2 linked regions of the Notamacropus eugenii genome follow. The protein of the gene in region 1 purifies or fractionates together with the protein of each later gene. This does not show direct contact. Links are inferred from orthologs where the notes say so. Each region holds a gene or a part of one and is shown on either strand. Other genes may lie near its edges.

Evidence for each region. Proteins that work in one complex are often made in the same cells at the same time.
Region 2: the proteins of ILK (region 1) and GCN1 purify together in Homo sapiens (affinity purification with mass spectrometry; 3 studies listed by BioGRID and IntAct, with this or other methods). This does not show direct contact. The link is inferred for Notamacropus eugenii from reciprocal best matches to the Homo sapiens genes ILK and GCN1.

Annotation. Positions count from the first base shown.
Region 1 is NC_092876.1:88,829,783-88,837,579, forward strand, and holds the start of ILK (scaffold protein ILK), read right to left. Parts: upstream 3,046-7,797; 5' UTR 2,936-3,045; intron 2,594-2,935; exon of another isoform or gene 2,516-2,593; intron 1,949-2,515; 5' UTR 1,929-1,948; coding exon 1,840-1,928; intron 783-1,839; exon of another isoform or gene 1-782. Other genes in the region: RRP8 (ribosomal RNA-processing protein 8), read left to right, coding at 3,175-3,273. UniProt on the Homo sapiens protein: Scaffold protein which mediates protein-protein interactions during a range of cellular events including focal adhesion assembly, cell adhesion and cell migration.
Region 2 is NC_092875.1:25,072,161-25,079,378, reverse strand, and holds the start of GCN1 (stalled ribosome sensor GCN1), read right to left. Parts: upstream 3,016-7,218; 5' UTR 2,876-3,015; coding exon 2,858-2,875; intron 325-2,857; coding exon 222-324; intron 1-221. Other genes in the region: RPLP0 (large ribosomal subunit protein uL10), read right to left, coding at 6,778-6,939. UniProt on the Homo sapiens protein: Ribosome collision sensor that plays a key role in the RNF14-RNF25 translation quality control pathway, a pathway that takes place when a ribosome has stalled during translation, and which promotes ubiquitination and degradation of translation factors on stalled ribosomes.

The DNA of each region.
Region 1 (7,797 bases):
TAGTCATCTTCGTTCAAAAACTGGAATCATTTTTCATTTTTCACCCTCCTTCAGCTACCACAACCCATCAGTTTCCAAGCTTTTTGAGATTTCACTTCCACAATATTTCTCATACTAATCCCCTCTCTATTCACACAACCACCACTCTCCTTTAGGTATCTCTTGCCTAGACTGCTGCAAAAGACTCCTAACTGGGCATATTCAATCCATAGCCTCCAAATTTTTGTTTCTAAAACACAGGGCTGACCCTATCACTCCTCTGCTCAAGAAGGTTTAGTGACTGTTGCCTCTACTATGTAATACTCTTTTTTTGGCTTTTAAAATTCTTGTCAATGAAGTTCTGAACTATCCAGACTGACTTCCCATTACTCTTTCTTGGACATGCTAATTTTCAGGAAAAACTGCCTGTTTGTTATTCTCCAAATTTGGCATCCCATCTCTAGCCTCTATGCCCTTTTTGTACCCATACATATTGTCCCCCATGAGTGGGATGAACTCCCTTTTCACCTAGGCCTTCTAGAATTACTGACTTTTTTTCAGGCTCAGCTCAAGTGCTCCTTGGTAAAAGGGGCCTTTCCTGATCACCCTCCTGTCATTAGTGTCAGTGGCCTTCCCAATCACTTTGAATTCATTTTGGATTGATGTATATACATATTTGATCTCTCCTCTCCTCCAGTGGAGTGGAAGCTCCTTGAGAGGAGGGAATGCTTCATTTTTACTTTTGTACTACCACTGCCTAGCACAGGGCAAGTGCTGAATAAAGTGTGGGCTGAATGAATGTCTCCAAATGTAGCAGTTAGCTTTTTTGACTGTAGTCTCCTATTAACTCATAATTCCACATGTATAAAATCCCCCAGAATTTTTCCACAGGAATTGTTTAGCTGCACATTCACAATCTGGTATTTGTGCAATTGCAATTCTTAATCCAAAAATAAGACTAGATGCTTGGATATCCCTATGAAATTTCATCATATTAGATTTGGCCTGATCATAGGTTCACAGGGTGATTTTGGTTCCTGATTCTGTTTTCCAGTTTTTAGCTACTGTTTCTAGTTTCATGACATCTGCAAATAGGATAGATGTGCCATCTAGACCTCTACTCAAGTCAATAATGAAAATGCTGAGCAGCAAAAGTCAAGGACATGCCTGGGCCATTCCACTTAGAGACCTTCCACCAACCTAACACTGACCCATTACTCTTAGGTCTGAATCTGCCTAATTTTCCTAGCCCAGGGGCTAGACAACAAGAGGCTAGAGCTCACAACTCTTGTGTCCTACTCCCATAAGAAACTGTCAAAGACTGCAGTGAAATCCAAAAGGGAAATATTAGAATCATAGATCTGAGACTTTGGAAATGAATATCTAGTCCAATGAGATCTGCATGTGATGTCTTCTGAATTCCCTAACACTTTCACATTCTGCTTTTCAGAGTTCTATATATAGGGGCCTCATCTTCCCCACTCTAAGGGCAAGAATTGGGGTCTTCATCTTGCTCAGCTGTACCAGGAACCTAGGCCCTGAAACCCTATCCCAATGTTTCCACCAAACATATTCCACTTCCAACTTGTGTTCCCCAGCCCAGTTGTGGATGTCCTGTGTATCCTTTCTTTTTTCTGCAAAACAAAAAAATCCCACCCAACATCACCTGTCCCCTCCATATGTCCCAGTGTTAGGAGAAGGTATGGATCACAGAAAGTAGAGGCACTGTCGAAGCAAAGGGCAAGAAAGGGCTGCGGACTAGATACCAAAAATATACATTATTACACCAAGGTTTTCCGGAGCCTTGTTTGCCCTGCCCAGACACACCTCCTTGCCAACTTTCCCCTCAGATCCTCTCACCCTTGGTTCAAGTCGTTTTCTGTGTTGTCCAGCCACAAACGAACAGCCACAGCATTGCCCTCCCGGCACTGAGTGAAAATGTCGTCCATGGTGACAGCTTCTTACGACCCTGGATAGTCAGGAGGATGGGGGAGAGGTACTAATCAATGTGGGCATAGGGTTATCAGGACTTACTACCTCCTCCCAAAGAGAAGAGCTAGCTCCCTAACTTTCTCTCCCACTTTACGTCCTAGTTGGTCACCCCCACTCCCCGAGCAGCTGGATGGGGGAAGGTTGCAGAAGATGATGTTAGATACCCTTCTTGGGAAAGTCATGTTTGATAATTCTTCCTAGTTGTACCACACACATCCCTTTCAGGGGTGGTCCTGACTAAAAAGGACAACAGTTGGCACCTTAAGAAGGTTCTTAAGCCCTAAGAAGGTGTGTGAGCTACAGAAGGCATGCTTTTCTACGCCCCCCCACCCCACTTGAATCCATACACTCGTCTCCAGACTAGTATCCTGACTGGGCAAAGATAAGCCTGGAACCAAGTCCTCCCGGGGCTTCACCAGCACAGCACGACCCAGAGTGTCGGTCGAGGGAGGACCAGCTGGGCTAAGGCTCGGAGGCTCCACGCGAGAAGTTTGTCCCCGGGGAACAAATTATCTTCTGCTTATCTTCTGCCACCGCAACTCACCGAACAGTTAACTAAGCTGCTATCTGCGTGGGTGCTGGGAGTGCCCCAGGGTGAGAAGACCACTACTCCATCCAAGCTGGGCTGGTCCTGGGCGTTGTCCCCTTCCCCTCCCCGAAGCCACCCCCGCCCCAGACGAGGGTGGGGGGAGGCCCCGGCGCAGACTGCCCGGAGCCCCGCCGAGGCAGCTAAGGGGCCCGACGCCCCGAGAGAGAGTCGGGACAGGCCCGCGATTACACGGCGTCCCGGCGGCAGCCGTGAGGCTGGACCCGGGACTCCGCCCGCCTTCTCTCCAGGCCCGCGGACCGCCGGAGGCTCCCTCCCACCCTCAGGCCTCAGTTTCCTCCTCTGTAAAATGGGCTCGTGGCCCCGCCCCCATCTCCCCAACCCCAGGGGCAGGTGCAGGCCCGCACGATCGCTCACCGGGGCTCGGGTCCAGGTCCAGACGCGCCAGCCGCCCGCTCCGGCCGCTGCCTCCTTCGCCAGTCCTGCCACACCCGCCCCGGCCCGGCCCCGCCCCTCGCCACGCAGCCGCTCTGGCCGCCCGAAGCCTCCTCTCGCTGGTCGCCGGCGGGCGGAGCGGCCGCTCTGCCAGCGCAGCGTCGTCTCGCTGCTCCCGGGCTGGCGGCGGTGGCGGAGGCCCACGTGGCCTCGCAGCCCCCATGTTCGAGGAGCCCGAGTGGGCCGACGAGCCCCCGGCCCCGGCCGCCCGCCCGCTCCCGACCCCACGCGCCAGTGTCGGGCGGGCGCCGCGCATCAAGGTGAGTGTTTGCCCCGAGCGTGGGCGCGATACCCCCCGCTGTGCGGTGGGCGCCGGGCTTCCCGTGAGCCGCGCGTCCGCGTGTCCGCGTGTCCTCCCCCTCCCCGCCCCCCGGGGTCTGCGTGACGCCCTCCCTGGGTCGCGGGCCCGGTCTGAGGCTCGTGGGAACCCCGTGATTGCGTCGTGGCCGCTGTGTTCGCCTGACGCTCCATCTCCTGTCGCGGGCCCCAGGGTTCTTGGGACCCGGTGTCAGCGTGTCCTAACCCTCCCCCTCATCGTGGGCCCAGATTCGCTGAGCCCTAGTGTCCGTGCGACCTTCCCCCGCTGCGTGTGCCTGTGTTCGAGAGCCCCGGAGGGCTCGGTGGTGTCGGGCCGGAGGAGGGCAGAGCGGGTTCCCCCGGGACTGCTTGCTCTGGCTCATTCCCGTCTGATGCCTGCCGGGTTGTGTCCTAGCGCCGGGGAGGCGGGGGGCGAGGCGGCGGGCGCAGGCGGGGGGCGCAGACGGGGGTAAGGCCTTTTCACCTCCGAGTTTGGTCCTTGTTGTCCGTCTCTCTCTTTTACTTTCACAGTTTTATTTAAAATTTTGAGTTCCAGATTCTATCTGCACCCCCCCACCCCCGCTGAGACTGTGAGCAGTCAGATGTGGGTTATGTGTGTGCATTTATGCACAACATGTCCATGTTAGGCATTCTGTGCAAGACTAGAATAAAAGAAAACGAAAAGTAGCGTGCTCACTGTTGCAGCTGTATCAGTTCTTTCTCAGGAGGTGCGTAGTATACTTCGGGGTTGTTTTGTATTGTAGCGTTGTATTGCTGAGAAGAGTTAAGATGTTTACAATCTTGATCGATCAGTATTGCTCTTACTGTGTATGATATTCTCCCAGTTCTATTCACTTCACTCTGCGTCCGTTCATGCAAGTCTTTCCAGGTTTTTCTGAAATCATCCTGCTTGATATTTCTTATAGCTCCATAATATTTCATTATTCATTACAATCATATACCAAGTTTGTTTAGCCATTCCCCAATTTATGGACATCCCTTCTATTTCCAAATCTTAGCCAACACAAAAGAGCTGCTATAAATATTTTTGTACAATAGGTTCTTTTCCCTTTTTTTGGATGTCTTTGGGATATAGACCTAGCAATGGTATTTCTGGATCAAAAGGATATGCACAGTTTTATAGCCCTTTGGACATAGTTCCAAATTGCTCTCCAGAATGGTTGGATCAGTTCACAACTCCACCAGCAGTGCATTAGTGTCCCAGTTTTCACACATCCCGTCCAACATCTAACACTTTCCCGTTTTGTCATATTGGCCAATCTGAAAGGTATGAGGTGGTACCTCAGCGTTGCTTCATTTACATTAATCAGTAGTGGTTTAGAACATTTTTTCATGTAACTAGATAGCTTTGATTTCTTTATCTGAAAACTGCCTGTTCATATCCTTTGACCATTTATCAATTGGGGAATTTGACTCAGTTCTCCACTTATTTGAGAAATGAGGCCCTTATCAGGGATGCTTGTTGCAAAAATGTTGTCCATCTCTTAACTTAGAAATTAAGTGTTGGTGGAAGTTCCCTGATGTCCTAGGTAGGAAGGACCACTGGGAATGTGGGTATGAAAGATAACTTCTGCCTGAAATTGACATTTTGCTGGAAGGAGGAAGGGAGGTGTTGTGAGTAGATGGGGAAGAAGATGAAAAGGAGGAAGGCATCCTAGAGGAGGTAACAACTGAGCTTAAGTCTTAAGGTTAAGAGAAGGAAGGTTCACAAGAGTCCAAGGAGAGGAAAGATCGAATTCCTGCTGGGGGAGAGGCAGGGAGAGCCTGTGCTAATGTTAATTCACTGAAGCTGAAGACAAGACATGTAAGACCAGTGAAAAAGTAGTATATGTGAAATGGGCTGAAACAAGGCTGTTAAGATTAGTTGGAGTCAGATTGTTCGTAACTTTAAATGCCATGCTGAGGAGTTTGAATTTTATTCTAGAGGCAGAGAACCCTTGAAGATTTTTGATCAGCAGAGTAAAAAACAGAAAATATTTTGTCACCTGTATGAAAATTAATGAGAAAAAAACAGACTGGATGCATAGTTATGAGGTTTTATAGTAGTACAAGGGAGCCATGATGACCTGAATTAGGAGGTAACCCTGAGAGCAGAGGTGACAACTATAGTCATGGGGCGTGATGAGATCACCTGAGGAGACAGAATAGAGAGAAGAAAGAAGTGGACCCAGGACCAAAGGTGACAGTTATGGCCATGGGGCTAGTGAGGTCAACTAGGGACAAAGTGTAGGAGACAGATTTTGGGGGGCATTCACAATTAGGAGGTACAACATGGATCTGGGGTCTCAGAAGAATGAGTGATCAGATAAATAAGAGGAGATTAATGAATACTATCCAGAAAAAGTGGGAGACATGACTAGGGGAAGTTTGAGGTTAAGGAAGATTAGAAAAGGCAACTATGAACTTTGGGAGAGCTTTTTCAGGACTGCTGAAAGTACTGTGGGGATTACCAGAATAGGAAGGTGTAAGGAAGTGGAAACAGTGAATGTCGACTCTTCTTTCTAGCAGTCTAACAGTGATGGTGAAGAAATATATTAATTTTAAACCAATGTTTCATTTTAAAGTTGGGAGGAGACCTGACCAAATTTGCAGCCTCAGGGAAAGGACCCAGTAAAGAGGGGGAAATTGAAGAGTCCCAAAGGCACAAGCAGAGGGATTGCGCTTTGGAGGGAAGAAATTGAAGGAGTTCATGACTTATGAATTCAGTTATACTAAAATAGGAATCAAGGTGGTATACCGAGAGAGTGGAAATTAAGGAGCCTGAAAAGGTAGGGAGCAGGCACTGTGGACGGTATGACAGAAGAGCCAATCAGGAAAAGAAACTGGCTTCATGATGTCATTGTTATGGGGAACTCTTCAGGGAAGAAACTCCCTTAACCTATGCATTTCGGTATCGTCTTAGATACCAGTAGTCTTAGAGAGTTTCCTAGAGCATCGAGAGATTAGAACTTGACCAGTGTCATACCACCAGCATGTCAGAGGAAGGACTCAAACCTAGGTCTTTTCTGGCATTGATGCCTGCTGCCTCTCACAAATAGAAGTACTGCCAGGCTCCTGGGTGAGATAGCATGAATTTGTAATGGCTTCAGTGGCTTTCTCCACCATTATTTGACATCTCAGGAATAGAAGGGCAGAACCCAGAACTCCACAGCTGGCAAAATTGTATCAGGACCCAAGAAAAGTCAAAAATTAATGCTAGATGATTACAAAAATGGGGGAAGGCTTCCTTGAGGAGGATGCAAGTACCTGAACTTGGCTTTGAAAGATGACTAGGACACCAGCAGGTAACTGTGGGTTCAGCAGGATAGTTGTGGGCTAAGGGAGGAGCATGAGCCTGGGACATGTACAGAACATATGACTGGGTGGAACGTAGTAATCATCATTTGCCTGTCTGCTTTTCTTCCACAGCCCCTGGCCAGCATTTCTTATCCTCATTTTACAGATGAGGAAATGAACTTAAAAGGGAACGCCTCCTGGTGTTTGAGGCTAAAGCACCTGGGTTTGAATCTCAGCTTTGGAATTCTCTGCCTGTATAAAACCTGAGCCAGGTAGCATGCCCTCAGTGGGCCTCACTATGCTCTTCTAAAAACTAAGGAAGTCGGACTAAGGGTATGGTTTCAGATCCTCTCTCTGTCTTTATTACATTTGTGATCTCAGGCGGGTCAGTAAGCCTCTCCAGGTCTCATTTTCCCCATCTTTAAATTCAGAGGATGAGTCATCTATGACCTGAGGTCTCTTTCTTGGTGCTAAGGCCACTATCCTATGATTAGATGATCTCCAATGAGCTTTCTAGCTCCTTGAGCCGTGATTCTGTTGCCTGAGTCAGGGAAGAAGAAGGACTCTTCCCTTCATGTGTCAGAACCACACTCTGATGTGTGAAAGACTCCAGCCTTTCTTTTTTCTTTTGTTATTAAGAATTTAACAAACACAACCATTTTAAAAGACAGTGAAGAATGTATATGAAATTGTAAACTTACAGTTTAAAAACTTAGTTTTTTAAATGTTATATATTATATTTTTTTTAATGTTTCATTGATTCCAAGCCTATCTCTCCAGACTACTTTCATGTTATTTCCCCTCATACACTGTACATTCTGGCCAAACTGACCTACTTCCCATTAGTTATGCCTAGCATTCCACCTCCCACCTTTGTACAGGCTTTGCATAGACTTGTCCTTGTGTCTGGAATATTTTTCCTCCTCACCTCTATCTTTTAGAAGCTCAGCTCAAGGGCCAGCTCCTACTTAAAGCTTTTCTTGATCCACCTTCCTCTGCCCCCCATTGTTAGTGCTTCCTCTTAAAAGATAACTGTGTGTTTGCTTTGTATATACTTACCTTACTATCCCCACCTTGTCCCTCTCTTCAGTAGGATAACCTTATTGATGGCAGGCAGTCATTTGACTTTTGTCTTTGTGTCACTCTTGATGACCACAGAGCACGGTACCTAGTAAGAGTCTAATAAATAC
Region 2 (7,218 bases), on another chromosome or scaffold:
AGGGGAGCCTGCTAGACTGTATTTCTTTAAACGTATCCCAACAGGCAAAGCTTTTACTGTATATACTATTAACTACATAAAAATAAACGTTCTGGCTTAAAAGGCATCTTTGTACTCCTGAATGAGGATTCCCGGGAAAAAAAGAGTCATGAGCTAATGAAAATGTGATTTGCACTTTAAATGGTGTATATCCCTTCCTACACAAATGAACGTTCACTTACCTCTTCCAGCGACACATTTCCCAAGATCATTAAGGATCTCACTCCGTTCCTTCACACTGGCTGTAGTCACCTTTACGGCGAAACGCTTCAGCGTCTCAGAAACCTGTAGAAGTCACCCACAGACACACACACACACACACACAAAGAGATCACCCGTGAATATATGAATGTATGCACAGATACACACACATGCACGCATACACATACACACACACAAAGAGATCACCCGTGAATGTATGCATAGATTTACATACACGCATGCATACACATATACACACACATACACACAAGAAAGCAGGTCAAGATATGGGGGAAAAGAAAGAAATTACAGAATCTCTCAGCCAGCGGGTCAGTCAGCCTATAGAAAAGCCATGAGAGGGTGAACGTCAGTGACCTCAGGACAGAAAGTAACACCCTTTCCGCATCAGGGGCCTGTAACCTCAGCACCTGCACTCATGAAACCAAACCTGCTGATCACCCCTTAGGTTCGGCCTGTTTCAGCCAACATTAATTAAGCAGAGACACAGAGAAGACATTTCAGGAAGCCTATGCCTAGCAGCAGTCAGTGAGACCTAAGACTGAAGGCAGGGAGTGACATCGTGGAAACCACTGGCTTTCCTTGCTCCCTCATGATCCCTTTTTAAATCTATGTACCTACATACGTATGTGGGTACATATATACATTCATATATACACATGCTCACACGTAATTCAGTTTTATAGTTATCATTTTCATTCATCTTCTCCTCTTTCACCAAAATAAAAATGATCGTTAAGTTTTTCATGTAAGCCATTCCCTCTCCCCCAAAACAAGGGGATTACCTACTCTTAAGATGTCAGTCTGACACTAAAGAGGTGCCTGAGGTCTTCTGTGAAGGATCAGAGGGCTTCGGCTCCCCACAGGGGCTGCTACTACAACTCAACAGGCACTGTGGAACTTTGCAAACCCCCCAAAGACCCTCTAAAAATGGCACTTCAGGAGGCTTTCCAATGAAATAGCATCCGCAAAAACTGCCCACAGAGCCTGCTGTGACCTGGCTGGCCAGCCTCGACACTCAATCGTGGAATTAAAGGATGCTCTCGTCCAGCACGCCCCCTTTTACAGAGGTCATCACTGAGGCACAGAGAAGGCACCTGGCCTTTTTACAGACCTGGGACCCCCACCAAGCCCATGGAGGCCCCTAAAGTCCAGCTTCTCTCATTCAATCTCTTTCCCTTTTTAAGTATGAAATGGAACCTTCTGGCTCTTCTCCCTTTCCCCTCCTAGCCCCTGACAAGGCTGGGCCCGCAGGGCCCTGGGCCGAGTCTGGGGACCTCTCTTTTCACCTAAATTTCATCCCCTCTGCTGTCAGGAGAGCCCGGCCTGGGGGCCCCCACCGAGGGCTGCCCGGACCCGGGGCCCCCACCGAGGGCTGGAGACCCGGGGCCCCCACCGAGGACTGGCCGGACCCGGGGCCCCCACGGAGAGTTGGCCGGACCCGGGGCCCCAACCGAGGGCTGGCCGGACCCGGGGCCCCCACCGAGGACTGGCCGGACCCGGGGCCCCCACCGAGGGCTGGAGACCCGGGGCCCCCACCGAGGACTGGCCGGACCCGGGGCCCCCATCGAGGACTGGCCGGACCCGGGGCCCCCATCGAGGGCTGGAGACCCACCCAGGGTTGGCCAGACCCGTGGCCCCCACCGAGGGCTGGAGACCCACCCAAGGTTGGCCGGACCCGGGGCCCCCACCGAGGACTGGCCGGACCCGGGGCCCCCACCCAGGGTTGGCCGGACCCGGGGCTCGCACCCAGGGCTGGAGACCCGTGGCTCCCACCGAGGGCTGGCCGGACCCGGGGCTCCCACGGAGGGTTGGCTGGACCCGGGGCTCGCACCCAGGGCTGCCCGGACCCGGGGCCCCCACCGAGGACTGGCCGGACCCGGGGCCCCCACCGAGGGCTGGAGACCCGGGGCCCCCACCGAGGACTGGCCGGACCCGGGGCCCCCACCGAGGGCTGGAGACCCACCCAAGGTTGGCCGGACCCGGGGCCCCCACCGAGGACTGGCCGGACCCGGGGCTCGCACCCAGGGCTGGAGACCCGTGGCTCCCACCGAGGGCTGACCGGACCCGTGGCCCCCACCCAGGGTTGGCCGGACCCGTGGCCCCCACCCAGGGCTGCCCGGCCCAGGCCCCTTCTCTTCAGACAGGGACAGCCGCCCACAATTTGGGGTGAGTCTGAACCCTGGCCCGATCAGCCGCAAGGCCTCAGTTTCCCCCTCTAGTAAAACGAAGCAACACCAAATGACCTCGTGACCCCACAGCGGGCTCCCTTAGATTGTGGGGCTCCGAGGGGGGCTCAGTAAGGGGCAGGGGCTGGGCACGCGTTGAGAAGGCTGGCAACGGGGAGACTGAGACCGAAACGGAGGAGCCGAGACTGCGAGGGACGGTGCGGCTGGAGGCGGCTCCGGACGCTCCGCACCGGCAGCTGTCCCTCGGCCGCGGAGCCGCCCCTGCCCACGTCGCTCGCTCTCGCCCTCTAGGGGTCTCCGTCTCTCGGCTCCTCCCTCCGTGGCCTCCCCAGCCGCGCAGAGGCCGAGCCCCGAGGCGCCCCGGGCCGTAGCCGGAGCCGCCCCCCCTCCCCCCGGGACGCCAGCCTCACCTGCGTGTCCGCCGCCATCCTGCCGGCTCTGACCCCGGAACCGTTTTCGGCTCACATCCGGGTCACCCCAGAGCCCGCACGCTCACGCACACTCATACACACACTCACACCTCGCCCCGCCCTCCCACGCCGGGAACCAGGAGGCGGGGCCAATCACCATGGAGACGCGGAGCCCCACCCCCTCCCGCGAGCTTGGCCCCGGGGACACCTGGGAGCTCTCGGGCGGAGCCCGCCCCCTGCTGCGCTGGCGTGGGCGGGGACAAGCCATCCCCTGCACGTGGTCCCGGGATCACCAGGACAGGAAGGGAGGAGAGGGGAGGGGAAGGGGGAGGGGAGGGAGGAGGGAGGGGAAGGGGGGAGGGCAGGGCGCTCCTGGAGACCGTCGGAATTGTTGGGGAAAGTGGCGAAGCTAAATCATGCAAAGCTGTTAGCAGCTCCAAGTGTTCCTGAAATGTCCCCCGGGAAGACACTTCATCTCCAACCTCCGCGCCTTTGCAAGGGGCTAGGATCAGCCAATCAGTCAACATTTATTAAGCGCCTACTACATGCCAGACACTGTGCTAAGTGCTGGGGATGCAAGAAGAGGCCAAAGGCGGTCCTTGCCCTCAAGGACCTCCTTCCACTCTGATGGGGGAGACAACATGCAAACAAATATGTACAAATGCGCTGTTTTCAGAATAAGTAGAAAATAATGAGGGAAGAGCCTATAAAAGTAAGAGAAGTTGGGGGGCTTCCTGCAGAAGGTGGGATTTTAGGGGGGACTTAAAGGGAAGTCAGTGGTTGGAGCAGGAGGAAGAGCCGGAGAGAATGCCCCGAGAGGGGAGATGGACTGTCTGGGTCTGGGAACAAGGACCCGCATCCTCCTCTCCAGAGCTCCCTGCAAGACTTAGCTCAAGCATTAGACCTTTCAGGAAGCCTTCCCTTAATTCCCATAATTCTGTGTCCATCGTATGCATAACTGTCCACTGTCCTAATAAAGAGATTTTTGGTGAACATCCAGGATTCCTGTCCGTGGGCCTGGTCTCCTGAGTCAATCTCCACGACTATATGTCACAGCCCCCCAACAAATCCAGAAAGGAACATTAACTCCCCAAATACATTTTTTAAACTCCAAAGCATCTTTCTCATGATGCTGTAAAATAGTCACGAAAAGTATTATTACCATGTTATGAGTGAGGAAATTGAATCTCAGACCAGCTGTTGTGCAGAAGCCAGGCTTCAATCATGCTCTGGACTCCAAAAGCCGGGTCAGTGACCTCCCACTATACTACACTGCCTAAGATTTCAAGTGCAAATAAGACTCAGTGCTATAACAGAAAGTAACACCCCTGTAACAGGTGCTTACAGACCCAAAGGTCAATTGTTTTTTCAGGGGTTGTGTTAAAAGTGCAATTATTTTTTAAATGTTTTGAGGAGATGGCCTAGCTGTACCAGATCTTAAATTGTCTTATAAGGCAGCCATCATTAAAACTACTTGGTACTGGCTAAGAAATAGGGTGGTGGATCAGTGGAATAGGTAAGGTACACAAGACACAGAGGGCGATGACTGTAGTAATCTACTGTTAGATAAACCCAAAGACTCCAGCTTCTGGGCTAAGAACTCACTATCTAACAAAAACTTCTGGGAAAACTGGAAAATAGTACGGCAGAAACTAGGCATAGACCAACATCTAACCCTGCTAGTCAAAACTAGTACGTGATTTACATATAAAAACTGATACAATAAGCAAATTAGGGAAGCAAGGAATAGTTTACCTGTCAGTTCTATGGAGAGGAATTTATGAACAAATGAGATGGAGGACATTATGAAATGCAAAATGGATAATTTTGATTACATTAAATTGAAGTTTTTGCACAAACAAACCCAGTGCAACAAAGATTAGAAGGGACGTAGAAAGTTGGGAAACAATTTTATAGCCAGTGTCTCTGATAAAGGCTTCATTTCTAAAATATATAGAGAACTGAGTCGAATTTATAAAAATACAAGTCATTCCCCAATTGATAAATGGTCAAAGGCTACAAAGTGTTTTTTCAGAGGAAGAAATTATCTATAGTCATATGAAAAAATGCTCTAAATCATGTTTAATTAGAGAAATGCAAATCAAAACTCTGAGGTACCACATCACACCTATCAGATTGGCTAACATATCAGGAAAATGATAAACGTTGGAGATGTGGGAAAATTGGAACACTAATGAAATACTGGTTCATACCCTTTGACTCATCAATACTTCTAGGTTTGTATCCCAAAGAGACCATAAAAACAGGAAAAGGGCCCACATGAACAAAAATATTTACAGCAGCTCTTTTTGTGGTGACAAAAAATTGGAAATTGAGATGTCCACCCATTGGGGAACGGCTGGACAAGTTCTCTTCACATGTGGTATATGAATGTAATGGAATACTATTGTTGTAAGAAATGATGAGTGGGCAGACTTCAGAAAAACCTGGAAAGACTTCTATGAACTGGCACTGAGTGTAGTCAGCAGAAATCACCAGGACATTATACACAGGAGCAGCCAGCATGAGAGGATTCATTCTGATAGACCTAGCTCCTCTCAGCAATGCAAGGATCTAAAACAATTCCAAAAGACTCATGATGGAAAATACCATACACATCCAGAGAAAGAACTATTGTCCTTTTCTTTTGTTTCTTCTCATGGCTCCTCCCATTAGATCCTTCTTTACATCATGACTAATGTGAACATGAACGTTTAACAATAAAGCCTTTATCAGATTGCATGCTGTCTTGGGGAGGAAAAAATTTTAAACTCAAAAAGTTTATGGAAGTGAATGCTGAAAACAAAAAAGAAATTATGTATTTAAAAAAAGTCAGCAAATGTAACCAAAAAAAAGTTTTGAGGGGAAGTTTATATCCTAAATAGAGAGGTTTTTTTCCTCCATGTTCCTCACAGCCTGGTTCCATTTCCAGCTAACAACTTCCAATTTGGTTCAAACCCCAGCTCTGACATATAACATACCTGATCAACCCTGAGTAGCTCATCACTTTATGCAATTGTCTCAGCAGTTGAAATGGACCATCTGGTCCGTTAAAGCTCCTTCCAGCACATGGAAGGCAACAGAAAAAGAATCCAAGCACTGGCAGCCCTCAAGCTCCCCACTCTCCTCCTCATTTGGAGGCCACATACACAGCAGACTCTTCACAAGTTCTTACTCCCATAAATACAAAGTAATTTCTGTCAATGCTGAATGAGCACCACTCACACAATGTTTAAAGGAGAACATTTTGTAGTAAAGAACAAAATGTAAAGCTGATGCCCATTCATCAAGCAATGGCTAAGCAGGTTTGTGGTAGACAAAAAACTTGTTTTATGAGTCTAATAAAAAGGCAAGCCTGGCAGCCCATGAAGTGATGCAAAGTGAAGCAGAAGAACCAGAAAATGCATTGTCAACATAAATGAGCATGCTCCCTCCTTGGCACAGGTGAAGACTACAGCTCCAGGTATAGAAATTGGGACTTCATTCATTTGTTGAACTGGTTATAAACGACAGAGATAATACAAAGACAAGCAATCAATAAGGATCCACAGGCACACAGCTGGACAGATGGGAGCGGAGATTCATAGGGATCTTGGCTCAGACATCCATCACCCTCCTCCTACAACTATCCCAGTATCAAAAACTGGAAAAACCACCCCACATCACTCCCTTCTGTCATGTTTTCACAAGATTTTTTCATTACACCATTTAGAAGAGGCACAAAGGACTTTGCAATGATTATTTCAATTTCTCCTCCCAACCCAGAGAGGTGGGGGCTATAATCCCCATTTTATAGATTTTACAGTTTATAAATTCTTGTGGTTAAAAGTATGAACACAAGAAGCAGAGGCTGAGATAAATGAGCATTTTTATTCCTTTGTTTCACAAATAAACTGGCTGAAATAGTTGTTTCCCGTGGGCTAATCAAACAGACCAAATCCCATATCTTCATCAGACTCTTCCGACTCTTCCTTGGCTTCCACCTTGGCTGGAGCGGCAGCAGCCGGTGCAGCAGCAGCTGGAGCAGCTGCCACAGGGGCGGCCACTGCAAATGCGGAGGGGTCGGCCAGGAAGGCCTTCACCTGAAAATAGGGACATGAGTTAGCACTGCACCGCACCTCTCCTCCCACCCATCTCCTATATCTCTGAGTCAATAGGTTCAAAGCCCCTAGAAATGGGTAACAAGCCAAGGAAATCCCACAGAGGGTCAAGATTCCCTCAGGCACAGTGGTCATGCACCTACAGCTTCCACTTAACTATCACAGATCAAGGGGCCAGGGGTCACAGAGGTAACCTCGAAATGACAAGAACCTGGGTTATGAGTCTTGTGACTTCAAGAGGAGACAGCCAATCCACACCAG